2 linked regions of the Callithrix jacchus genome follow. The protein of the gene in region 2 binds, or shares a complex with, the protein of the main gene of each other region. Links are inferred from orthologs where the notes say so. Each region holds a gene or a part of one and is shown on either strand. Other genes may lie near its edges.

Region 1 (6,047 bases), on a different chromosome or scaffold from region 2:
TGGTGATTGGCTGGGCATGGTGGCTCACACCTGTAATCTCAGCATTTTGGGAGGCAGAGGTGGGAGAATCACTTCAGCCCAGAAGTTGGGAGATCAACCTGGGAAGCATAGTGAAATCCTATGTCCCCCCCAAAAATAAAAAAAAAAAAAGAAGGAAAAGGTCGATGATGGCTAAAAGGAGAAAAATACAAAAGGAATTCTGTGTAAAAGGAGAAAAGCATGAAAAAGATAAAACAAATGGACAAAATAGAGTCTGCAATTGAGCTATGGAAATTTTGAACAAACCTAAATCTGTGTGTAGCCATCAAAAAGTGACTCCTGTGTACCTCCCGTTTTCTTCGTTTTGAATAGGAATGCCTCTAGCTGCTATCCTTCTCCTGTCCCACCATTATACACTGGGTGTGTAGGGCAGGCAACTTGTATCAGTTTTGCAGGTCCACAGATGAAGAGGAATTGCGCTCCAGGAGCTGGACTTAGTTACACCTGAGGAGCCTCATCCATACACCTGGGCCTGATTTAGGTGATGAGGTTTTGGCCTTCAAAGTGATGTTGTAATGAAATGAGACTTTTGGAGGACTTGAGATGAGGTAGACGTATTTTGCACATGAGAAGAAGATGGATCATTGGGGGCCAGAGTGTAGACTATGGCAGACAGGCTACACAGCCCCCAGTAAGCCCCACTGATATGGTTAGACTCTGTGTCCCCCTCCAAATATCATCTCGAATTGTAATCCACCGGTGTTAAGGGAAAGAACTGGTGGAAGGTGATTGAATCATGGGAACTGTGAGTCAATTAAACCTCTTTCCTTTATAAATTACCCAGTCTCAGGGAAGTTCTTTACAGCAGTGCGAAAGTAGACTGACATACTCACCTCCTAGCATTCTCACCTTGTATAATCTCCTCCCCTTGAGTGGGAGCGGAACTTGTGACTTGCTTCTACCAATAGAATATGGTATAGGAGATGGAATGTCACTTTTGCAATTACTTTAGGTAGACGGTAACTTCCATCTTGCCAGTAGACTCAATTGATTTCACTCCTGCTGGCTTCGATGAAGTAAGCTGCCAATGTGGAGAGGCCCATGTGGCAAGAAACTTATGGTGCCCCCTGGGAGAAGGCGAGGAAGAAGCTGAACCCCTCCACCTGACAAGCAACACTGAACGGAATCCTGCCAACAGCCATGTGAACTTAAAGGCAAGTCCTCCTCCAGTTGAGCCTTCAAAGAAGCCCCAGGTTTGGGTGACACTGTCATTGCAGTTTTGTCAAAGACTCTAAAACAGAGGATCCTGCTACCCTGTGCCTGAATTCCTGGCCCAATAAATGGGGTTGAATCTACTGGAGAACCAGCTGGACAAATATATTAATAGAGCCCTACTCATCTCACCACTGTAATAAATTCTGGCTAGATCACAGATATAAATGCTGAACACAAAATCATCTTTATGTAGAATATATTGGGAAATTTTTTCACAATTTCAAGGGAAATACTATCGAAATGACAAACTTTATAGAGGCCAAGAATGAAAAGGTAAATTCAACAACATGAAACTAAAAAGAATTCTGCAAATCAAAACTACATTGAGATACCATCTCATGCCAGTTAGAATGGCGGTCATTAAAAAATCTGGAGACAACAGATGCTGGAGAGGATGTGGAGAAATTGGAACACTTTTACACTGCTGGTGGGAGTGTAAATTAGTTTAACCATTATGGAAGACAGTGTGGAGATTCCTTAAGGACCTAGGAATAGAAATTCCATTTGACCCAGCAATCCCATTACTGGGTATAGATCCAGAGGATTATAAATCATTCTACTATAAGGACACATGCACACGAATGTTCATTGCAGCACTGTTTACAATAGCAAAGACCTGGAACCAACCCAAATGCCCATCGATGATAGACTGGACAGGGAAAATGTGGCACATATATACCATGGAATATTATGCAGCAGTCAAAAACGATGAGTTCGTGTTCTTTGTAGGGACATGGATGAATCTGGAGACCATCATTCTCAGCAAACTGACACAAGAACAGAAAATCAAACACCGCATGTTCTCACTCATAGGTGGGTGTTGAACAATGAGAACACATGGATGCAGGGAGGGGGGCACTACACACTGGGGTCTGTTGGGAGGAATAGGGGAGGAACAGCAGGGGGTGGGGAGTTGAGGAGAGATAGCATGAAGAGAAATGCCAGATATAGGTGAAGGCGAGGAAGGCAGCAAATCACACTGCCACATGTGTACCTATGCAACTATCTTGCATGTTCTGCACATGTACCCCAAAACCTAAAATGCAGTTTAAAAAATAAATAAATAAATAAGAAAAAAAAGAATTCTGTATAAAACCAATGCTGTAAGTATGGAAGGAAGAAAAAAGAAACTGGAAAGAAACCTTCCTACATGTACATTGACAAAACATGATTTTCCCTGATACGCAGAGTTCAACAAGTCAGAACAAACAGCAATGAGACAGAAAGCAGGCAGAGAACGTGGTTCACAGAGCAGAACACGCATGTGGCTCTCAAACATAGGCAAAGATGCTCAACATTTGATAAAGATGAAACCAAATTAAAATTATGATAAGGTAACTTTTTTTTAACCCTTCAATTGGGATGGGTAAAAAAAGTTGGAATATTCTGTGCTAAGGGAGGGGAAACAGGCCCTCTCTTTTTCTTCTTTTTTTTTGAAGCACAGTTTCACTCTGTCACCCAGGCTGTAGTGCAGTAGTGCAATCTTGGCTCACTGCATCCTCCACCTCCCTGGATGAAGCGATTCTCCTGCCTCAGCCTCCAGAGTAGCTGGGACTACAGGTATGTGCCATCACACCCAGCTAATTTTTTTTTTTGTATTATTAGTAGAGATGGGGTTTTGCTATGTTGATCAGGCTGGACTTGAACCTGACCTCAGGTGATCCTCCCCACCTCAGCCTCCCAAAGTGCTGGGATTACAGGTGTGAGCCACCACACTAGGCCAGAAATAGGTACCCTCATACCTGTGAGTATAAATTGGTACAGTCTCTATGAAGGTCAGTTTGACAAAATATCTATCAAAATATCCAAATTTGACATAGAAATCCCACCTCTAGAAATTTTACCTACACATGATATCTTTTAAAAGATTGTCACTGAAGTACAGACTGTAATAGGAAAAGATGGAAAATAACCAACACGTATATGAACAGGGTATTCTTTAAATGTCTAGTGAAAATGAACAAATAAACAAGGCAGTTCTGTTTGCACTGACATGGTTTAGAAAAACAAAGACGAGAATATTGTGTAAGGCTATTTGTACAAAAATGATTACATACACCAGACATGCTTACACATGCAAAGAATATTTCTGGGAAAATACACAAGAAACTTGCTTCCAGGAAGAACTAGGTGGCTGGAAAAACAGAAGTTAGACAGTTTTTCTTTTATAGTTTTTTGAATATTTTCGGTGAATATTACGAATATATCCTCTATTCACAATTGTTAATACAAAAATGAAAAGGAAGTAATGTTTTGACACCCAAGGGCTCTCTCCAGGACTTAAAAGGGCGTGCTTTTTAGGCAAGAAAGAGCCAGTGAATGCCCCTCTGTGGGCGCAAAAGGAGAGAACACCCACTGCCGTTTTAAAGTACATCTTAAAATAGTGTGTTGCAAAGCTCAGTGGGCTCAGCCCTTTATGATTGTTGGTTAGAAGGCTGTCAGGGATCATTTTCCAAATGCCAACTTACAATCCTCTACCATCCAGAAAGTTTTTATCCCTGTGAGAATTTTTAGAATTTAGAGAATGCAGCTAGTAGAGCTGACAGCCCCATGCAAAGCAGGTGGGGAAGCTTCAGAGGGAACCACTAGGTCCCCACGCAGCTATATTCTCACTGTTTTCCTTCCTTGTTCCAGCCAGTGCTACTGCTTCTTTCCTGGGACCAGCTTTTGACATAACTCTGCAGCTGAGGCCACTGACCTTTCCTCCCCGCTTCCCTCTCTTACTTAAGTCTGGAACAGCTCTTGCTGGCACCTCTGCAGCTGTGACTCACTGCAAATGCTTTGCATTCCGGGATGTTCTTCAGGGCTTTGGGTCTCTCCTGTGGCTCAAAGAGCCAGGCGAGTTGAAAGGGAGGAGAAAGAGGCCCTGTAGCTGCCAAAACGTTGCAGCCTTGAGGTGGAAAATTGAAACGGCTTTGTGCCGGAAGGACCCCAGCCAGCCCCTCCCTCTCTTGGGCTTGCTTGTAACTGGAGCAGAGCTAGGGGACGCCTCCGTGGAGGCTGAGTCAGCTGGGGGTTGTTCCAGCCCCAAGAGGCTCCATTCACAGACCCAGAAGCACCGCACCCCATCTGGAGACCATCTCCATCTGTCCATGAAGGACTGGGTTAAAGCCACTCTGGAAAGCAGAAATGGGGGTGTCATCTAGAAGTACTGTTTGTCTCAAGTGTCAGTTTACCTTTAAGTCACTGGAATGATTTGTCAGTTCGTTCCACCTCCTCACCGTCTTCAGCTGTATACAATTTATGTTTATATTCAGGTCAATCAACATCTACTCACAACAGCTACGTTCTTCCCTGCCTCTTAAAGTGACGAGACTCTATGTTGAAGGTCTTTCGGTAAAACAAATTAGCGTCTAGCTGCCCAGGTTAATTCAATGGAGATGGGGGAGGGTAGGCTGTGCTCGCTCACCTTCACTTCGTTCCTGATCCTCTATAAAGACTCCAATGGGGCATAATTTTAAAAACCTTATAAGTAAACTTTATCGATGTAAACTTACATATAATAAAACACGCCCGGATCGGCTCCGTTTGCAAAGTTGAGTGTCTTGAGAGGTCAGATAGCCGTCAGACATGGCACCTGGACCTGAACATGGACATAGTAAAATGGAATTTCCAGATTATAAACAATGGAAGATAGAAGGGACACCATTAGAAACTGTCCGGAAGAAACTGGCTGCAAGCGGGCTAAGGGATCTATGAGGCTGCACTGAAGCTTGGAGATACACGGGTGGCTTTGCAAACAATGTTTCCTTTCTTGGTGCACTATTAGAAGGATTCAAATGGGGATTTGCTGCATTTGTGGTAGCTGTAGAAGCTGAATATTACTTGGAGTCCTTGCATAAAGAAAAGAAGCATCACTGAAGATAATAGTTGGAAGTATCATAGTGGTTTCTTAACTCTCCCAAATAAAATTTCTTCACTGTAGCCTACTCATCTGGCTTGTCCCTTAAAGAACATTAGGAAGATTTAATAAAGTAAATTAGTATATATGCCAAAAAAAGCCTACCCATTTTTGGTGTATAATGTGATGAGTTTTAGCAAACATATGTACCCATGTAAGGCATAATTTGAAGCTAATGGCTTAATAGATATGAAAACAATGAAATAAATGTCCATGGGGGGGGTCAACAATATTTCATATTCACTTACATTTCTCTAACTCCATGGGTACAACATCATCACATGTTAAGGCTCTTTTGCTATCAAACAATATTCAATATAGTTTTACTTGGATTTCATAGAAGAAAACAACTTGGACTAAATAGAAAGCAAAATTGAAGTGGAAAAAATTACTAGGTTTATTTTTAATTTTATTTTCATTTTACTTTGAGTTCTGGGATACATGTGCAGAACGTGCAGGTTTGTTACACAGGCTAGATTTCAAGTAAATTTTTTTTTCCGTATAATATTAGCTCTTTAAATTTCTTTGTAAAATTAAGAAATTTTGCAAGTAATGGTGTTTTTTTTTTGTGAACCACACATTTCAATTTTATACATTGACTGACCTCTACAGAAAATGAGGATTATTATACCACCCCTCTCCTCACATTCCCCTCTCCTCAACTGCCATATAATTTTTTATTTTGATAAGTTTATAACACTAACATTGTCTTCAGTGATAGTCCAACAGTTTTTGATTGATCTATATTTAAATTTATTTGGTGTTCACCAAAACCTTTATTTATTTATTTTTTTGAGATGGAATCTTGCTCTGTTGCCTGGGCTGGTGTGTAGTGGCATGATCTCAGCTCACTGCAACCTCTGCTCCCTGAGTTCAAGTGATTCTCCTGCCT
Region 2 (5,404 bases):
ACATTGTCTGTAAGAACTGTGCCTAACCCAAGATTTTAGAGCTTTTTCTCCTGTGTTTTCTTCTAGAAGTTTATTATAGTTTCTGGTTTCACGTTTAGATCTGTAACTTATTTTGAGTTAGTCTTAGTGTATGGCAAAAGGGTCAGTTTTTTTTTCATATTAGTGTCTACTTGTTCCAGGGGCATTTGTTGAAAAAAGACTGTCCTTTCTCCACCTTTGTTGAAAATCAGGTGACCTTACATGTGTAGGTCTGTTTCTGACTCTGATTGCTGTTCCATGTATCTGAGTCTGTCTGTTAGCTATACCACATGGTCTTGTAGCTTTATAGCTTGTCCTGAAGCAGGTGTCTTCCAACTGTATTCTTTCCAAAAGTGTTTTTGAGACACTTCCCTAGTTCTCTGCCTTTTTTGTAAATTTTAGAATTGGTTTGCTAATTGCTACAGAAGTTCTGCCGGGAATTTGGGTGGGATATCGTTGAGTTTATAGATCCAGTTCAGAAGAATTGACATCTTGACAGTATTAGATTTTGTAATTCATGCACATGGAATATCCCTCCATTTCTTCAGTCTTAAAGATTTCTTTTTATCAGTGTGTAGCAATTGTTAACATGCAGATCTTGCATATATTTTGTTAGACTTATATGTAAGTTTTTCATGCTTCTTCATTTTGTAATAAATGATACTGTTTAAAAATTTCTATTTTCAATATGTAGAAATACATTATATATGTAGAAAAATACATGATTTTTGTTCATTGATCATGTGACCTCCTAAACTCACTTGTTCCAAAAGCTACTTTATGGAGTCTTTGGGATAGCGTGCATTCACTGTCTTGTGTGTTTATTTCTGTATGTTTTTTATAAGATACTGCGCAGCTCTTTGTGGTTGTCGCTGGACTCTGCATGTGTTTGTCCCTTGTGTGCTCCTTACTACCTTCTTATTTTCCAGAGTGTCCTACAGGTCCAGATATCATTCCAATTGTAGCTGGTGTGGTTGCTGGAATTGTTCTTATTGGCCTTGCATTACTGCTGATATGGAAGCTTTTAATGATAATTCATGACCGAAGGGAATTTGCTAAATTTGAAAAGGAGAAAATGAATGCCAAATGGGACACGGTAAGTTACAAAACATCCAAAAACCAATGTGGCTTATAAATCAAATGTAATACTCCTAAGACTTACTTATTAACTGTCAGGCTGATTATTAAATTCCTTTAAATATTTTAGTCCCCCAAAAGTTTCTCATTCAAAGAATTTGCGTTTAATGAAAAACAGGAAGCATCCTAAATATATCTCATTGAAACAAAACATTGATTATAAACACGTATATTCTAGTTACTGTGGCCGGTATTTTTATTTCTTTAATAGTTTTGATCCTAAATCTGCCTTTTCATCTAATGTGAAATAGAATCCTAAATAATGTTACCTGTGTAGCAAGCTATTCAATGGAAAGCTGCTTCTTTCTTTAAAAAAACAAACAAAAAAAGACAAAGAACCTTCAGTGAAAGCCAGATTCAAAAGGTTATATGCCAAGCTTGTCCAACTCGCAGCTCGTGGGTCACATGAAGCCCAGGACAGCTTTGAATGTGGCCCCAACACAAATTTGTAAAGTTTCTTAGAAATTGTAAGATTTTTTTTTTTTGGTGACTTTTTTTTTTTTAAGCTCATCAGCTATCATTAGTATATTTTATGTGTGACCCAAGACAATGATTATTCTTCCAAGGTGGCCCAGGGAAGCCAAAAGATTGGACACCCCTGCTATATACTATGTGATTTCATTTAAGGGACATTCTGGAAAAGCAAAACTATATGGGCAAAAATCAGTTGTTGCTAGGGGCTGGAATGAGGAAAAGGGTTCACCGCAAAGGGCCATAAGGAAACTTCCTGGGATGATCTTGATTTTGGATGTATTTATGTATTTGAAAACTCATGGAACTATGTACTTTAAAAAGGTATATGTTCCTCTATGAAAATTATATCTCAGTAAACCTTGGCTTATAAAAATTTTAAAAGCCCTAAGTGACTGAAAGTTTATGTTAGCATTTAGTGCTTTGAAATATGGAGTCAGTTTCAGCCTCTGTGTATTCATATTTTGATACAAGAAAGCATTGGCAATCTTTAGTTTTTTTAAGTTGTAAATGAATTGTAGTTACTTGCACTTAACTACAGTTTGCTGGAATTTTTTTAAATTATCAATTTTTAAAATTATAAATTTCACAAGGGTAGAAATAGAAAAAAATTCCCTTTATAGTGTTTGAACACTATAAATGTCTATTTTTTTTCTGATGAAATCATTAGAAACTATTTCTTTTACTTTAGCAAGAAAATCCGATATACAAGAGTCCTATTAATAATTTCAAGAATCCAAACTACGGACGTAAAACTGGTCTCTAAATTGCCGTTCGTATTTTCTTTCACTTTCTGCCTTTGCATGTGAACATTTACTTTTTTACTGCACTGTGTGCCCTTTATCACTATTGCTTTTCTTTTAAGTCTGGCTTTATTTATATCGCTATTGCGGCTTTTCTTTTTGTGTGTTAACTTCGTTTTTAGAAAGACTAAAATAAGTAATGTGGTATAGAAACAGCAGCTGTGTTGTAGTGAGAAGAGAATGTGATTTGCAATCAGACCTCAGGTCAAACCCCAGCTCTTCCACTTAGTAAGTAGAACAGCATTGAGCCACTTCACTTCTCTCATCTATCAAAGGGAGTCAGTATTCTGTATTGTATGGGGCAATTGTATTTGGCAAATGCACTCCAGTATATGAAATCAGCTTGTGAGCTCTAATCCTCACAACAATTCTATGCCTAGAATGATAGTATCCTTTTTTCTTTTTCTGTTTTTGGTTTTGTTTTGTTTTTTTGAGACAGAGTCTTGCTCTTTCACCCAGCCCGGGGTACAGTGTTATGATCTCCCCTCACTGCAACCTCTGCTTTCCAGATGCCAGTGATTCTCCTGCCTCAGCCTCCCAAGTATCTGGGATTACTGGTGCCTGCCATCATGCTCAGTTAGTTTTTATATTTTTAGTAGAGACGGGGTTTCACAATGTTGGCCAGGTTGGCCTAGAACTCCTGACCTCCAGTGATCTGCCTGCCTTGGCCTCCCAAAGTGCTGGAATTACAGGTGTGAGCCACTGTGCCCCCACCAGTATTATCCTTAAATAACAAATTGTTAGAGTAAACTTAGGGTTGGGTAGTGAAAACTGATCATGGACTCCAAATTGCAAAATAGAAAATTAAATGTAAGTTGTGTGGTATGCAACTACAATATCATTATTATTGTTTCTCAGAAGATTTGAGATTAATTTATTGAATATAACTTTAAATTTCATTAAAAGCTGGAAGACCATATTATATATATATATCTTTGTATATTATATATATGTCTGTGTCTGTGTGTGTATGTGAGAATGATTCTAATTTTCAAGTGTAAGTTTGAAACTGTTCCTGTCTGAATTTTCATGAAATGCTTCCATCGTATTTCAATATAATCATGCAAGCTCCTAAAACTCAGTGATAACCAAGGTTAATTGTGATTAGAACTAAATTCTCTTGACTGGTGATCGGGAACTCTTCTTCTCTTTCCCAGTTGACTGACTGTAATAGGGCCTGGAAGATTTCCAATTTTCTCACTGCCTACCTTATTTTGCAGATAAAGACGGTGTTGGTAACACTTACATAGAACTCATTGTGTCTCAGGCATGATTGTAAACACTTAATCTATATTTAATCTTCATAGTGAAAGTTGAAGGAATGATGTTTATACCTGTTTTTTTACATATGAGGAAACTGAGACACATAAGGGTTATATAACTTGACCAAATTCACATGGCTAGTTAGTCAGAGAGCTGGGATTTGAACCCAGGCGATTGGGCTCCAGAGTTCATGTTCTTGTCTATGATATTCTACTTGGTAGCAGTTACGTATCTTCAGAAGTCCCTGTTACCTGGTTAGGAAGAGGTAGATCAGTCTTCTTTAGAGATTTACAGAGTTTTGACAATTTGTTGTTCCTCTGTCGGAGTTAACACCACCTCTGTTGGCAAACATCTTAGTAGGGCAGTCACTTGAATACATGGAACCCAATGCCGCAGTTATGCTTATTGACTGTTGGGAGTGTGCTTACAAACGGATCATGAAAAAGAGCCTAAGTACAGGAATGTTTAATAGTTATAAGTGATATAGGAAGTACTGATAATATTAGAAATCATTAACTTGTCAGATTTTTATTTCTAAGTAGACCATAAGACTTTTTAAAGTTAAATTTGATGGCAGAAAATTATATTCAGATTCACATATGGGCAGGGTTGGAGCATATTTGTATTAGTGTGTGATGACATGTTTTTCTTGTTCTCACTTAATACTTTACAGAAAGTCATTTTTAGAGGAAAACTGATTAGTCAATGACATTGCCAGGCTTTTTTTTTTTCTTTTATATTATTTTCTTTAGTTGTAGGAAAAAAAAAATAGTCAAATATTGACAATTTCATGTGGTTATTTTTCACGGGAGAAAAAAATTTCTTTCAGACAGAGAGGTGAAATTTTCACCCTTTCCGTACCTTTAATTGCATTTTGAAGGCCGGGCGCGGTGGCTCACGCCTATAATCCCAGCACTTTGGGAGGCCGAGGCAGGTGGATCACGAGGTCAAGAGATTGAGACCATCCTGGTCAACAAGGTGAAACCCCATCTCTACTAAAAATAAAAAAATTAGCTGGGCATGGTGGTGCATGCCTGTAGTCCCAGCTACTGGGAGGCTGAGGCAGGAGAATTGCTTGAACCCAGGAGGCAGAGGTTGTGGTGAGCCGAGATCGTTGCATCGCACTCCAGTCTGGGTAACAACAGCGAAACTTCGTCTCAAAAAAAAAAAAATAAATTGTATTTTGAAGGAAATTATCAGTAAATGTTATTTAAACTTAATGCTTATAATGTATATATGGCTAAAATGTTGTTAAAAGAAGCATTTAATGTAATTCAAGAAGCAAAAGTTTGGTAAAAATTTCTTTGCATTATTGAAGTCCAGGCAATATGATTATTTTTGAGATATTTTCTCAAGAAAAAGTAGAACTTAACTAAGTAAAATTGAAATAAATTAATAAGCATCAAGAAATTATATCATAGATTGTAAAAAAAATTTCTGATATGGACCAAGGTTTGCCCGTCAATTATGTCACCAATATTTTTGAAATATTTCGCAGGCACTAATTACTTTGGCATAAGTAGGAGCGGTAAAAAGAACGTGTCACATTCTCAGCTTCTAACTATTGGAGTGGGTTAAAAAAATTGTCCTCATCTGCTGCTATGCAGGTTTAAATGTGGATCCGAAATCTCCCACAGTTCTGCATTACATATCTAATACATTATAGAAGCTATTGCAGAGTGAGCACAAAGACAACATTTTACTGAGCACTG

The links.
Region 1: the proteins of ITGB1 (region 2) and FERMT2 are in contact, whole or in part, in a crystal structure (PDB 8TEE), measured with the Mus musculus proteins. The link is inferred for Callithrix jacchus from reciprocal best matches to the Homo sapiens genes ITGB1 and FERMT2. Residues at the interface, in NP_034708.1 of Mus musculus: Ala786, Val787, Thr788, Thr789, Val790, Val791, Asn792, Pro793, Tyr795, Glu796, Gly797; in NP_666166.2 of Mus musculus: Phe609, Ser610, Asn611, Met612, Lys613, Gln614, Trp615, Asn616, Val617, Asn618, Trp619, Glu620, Ala629, Asp630, His647, Ile654, Ser657, Thr658, Lys674, Leu675, Ser677, Gly678.

What each region holds. Positions count from the first base shown.
Region 1 is NC_133509.1:87,560,961-87,567,007, forward strand, and holds the start of FERMT2 (fermitin family homolog 2), read right to left. Parts: upstream 4,153-6,047; 5' UTR 3,979-4,152; exon of another isoform or gene 3,953-3,978; intron 1-3,952. UniProt on the Homo sapiens protein: Scaffolding protein that enhances integrin activation mediated by TLN1 and/or TLN2, but activates integrins only weakly by itself. Binds to membranes enriched in phosphoinositides.
Region 2 is NC_133508.1:32,598,284-32,603,687, reverse strand, and holds part of ITGB1 (integrin beta-1), read left to right. Parts: intron 1-947; coding exon 948-1,114; intron 1,115-2,317; coding exon 2,318-2,392; 3' UTR 2,393-2,398; intron 2,399-5,404.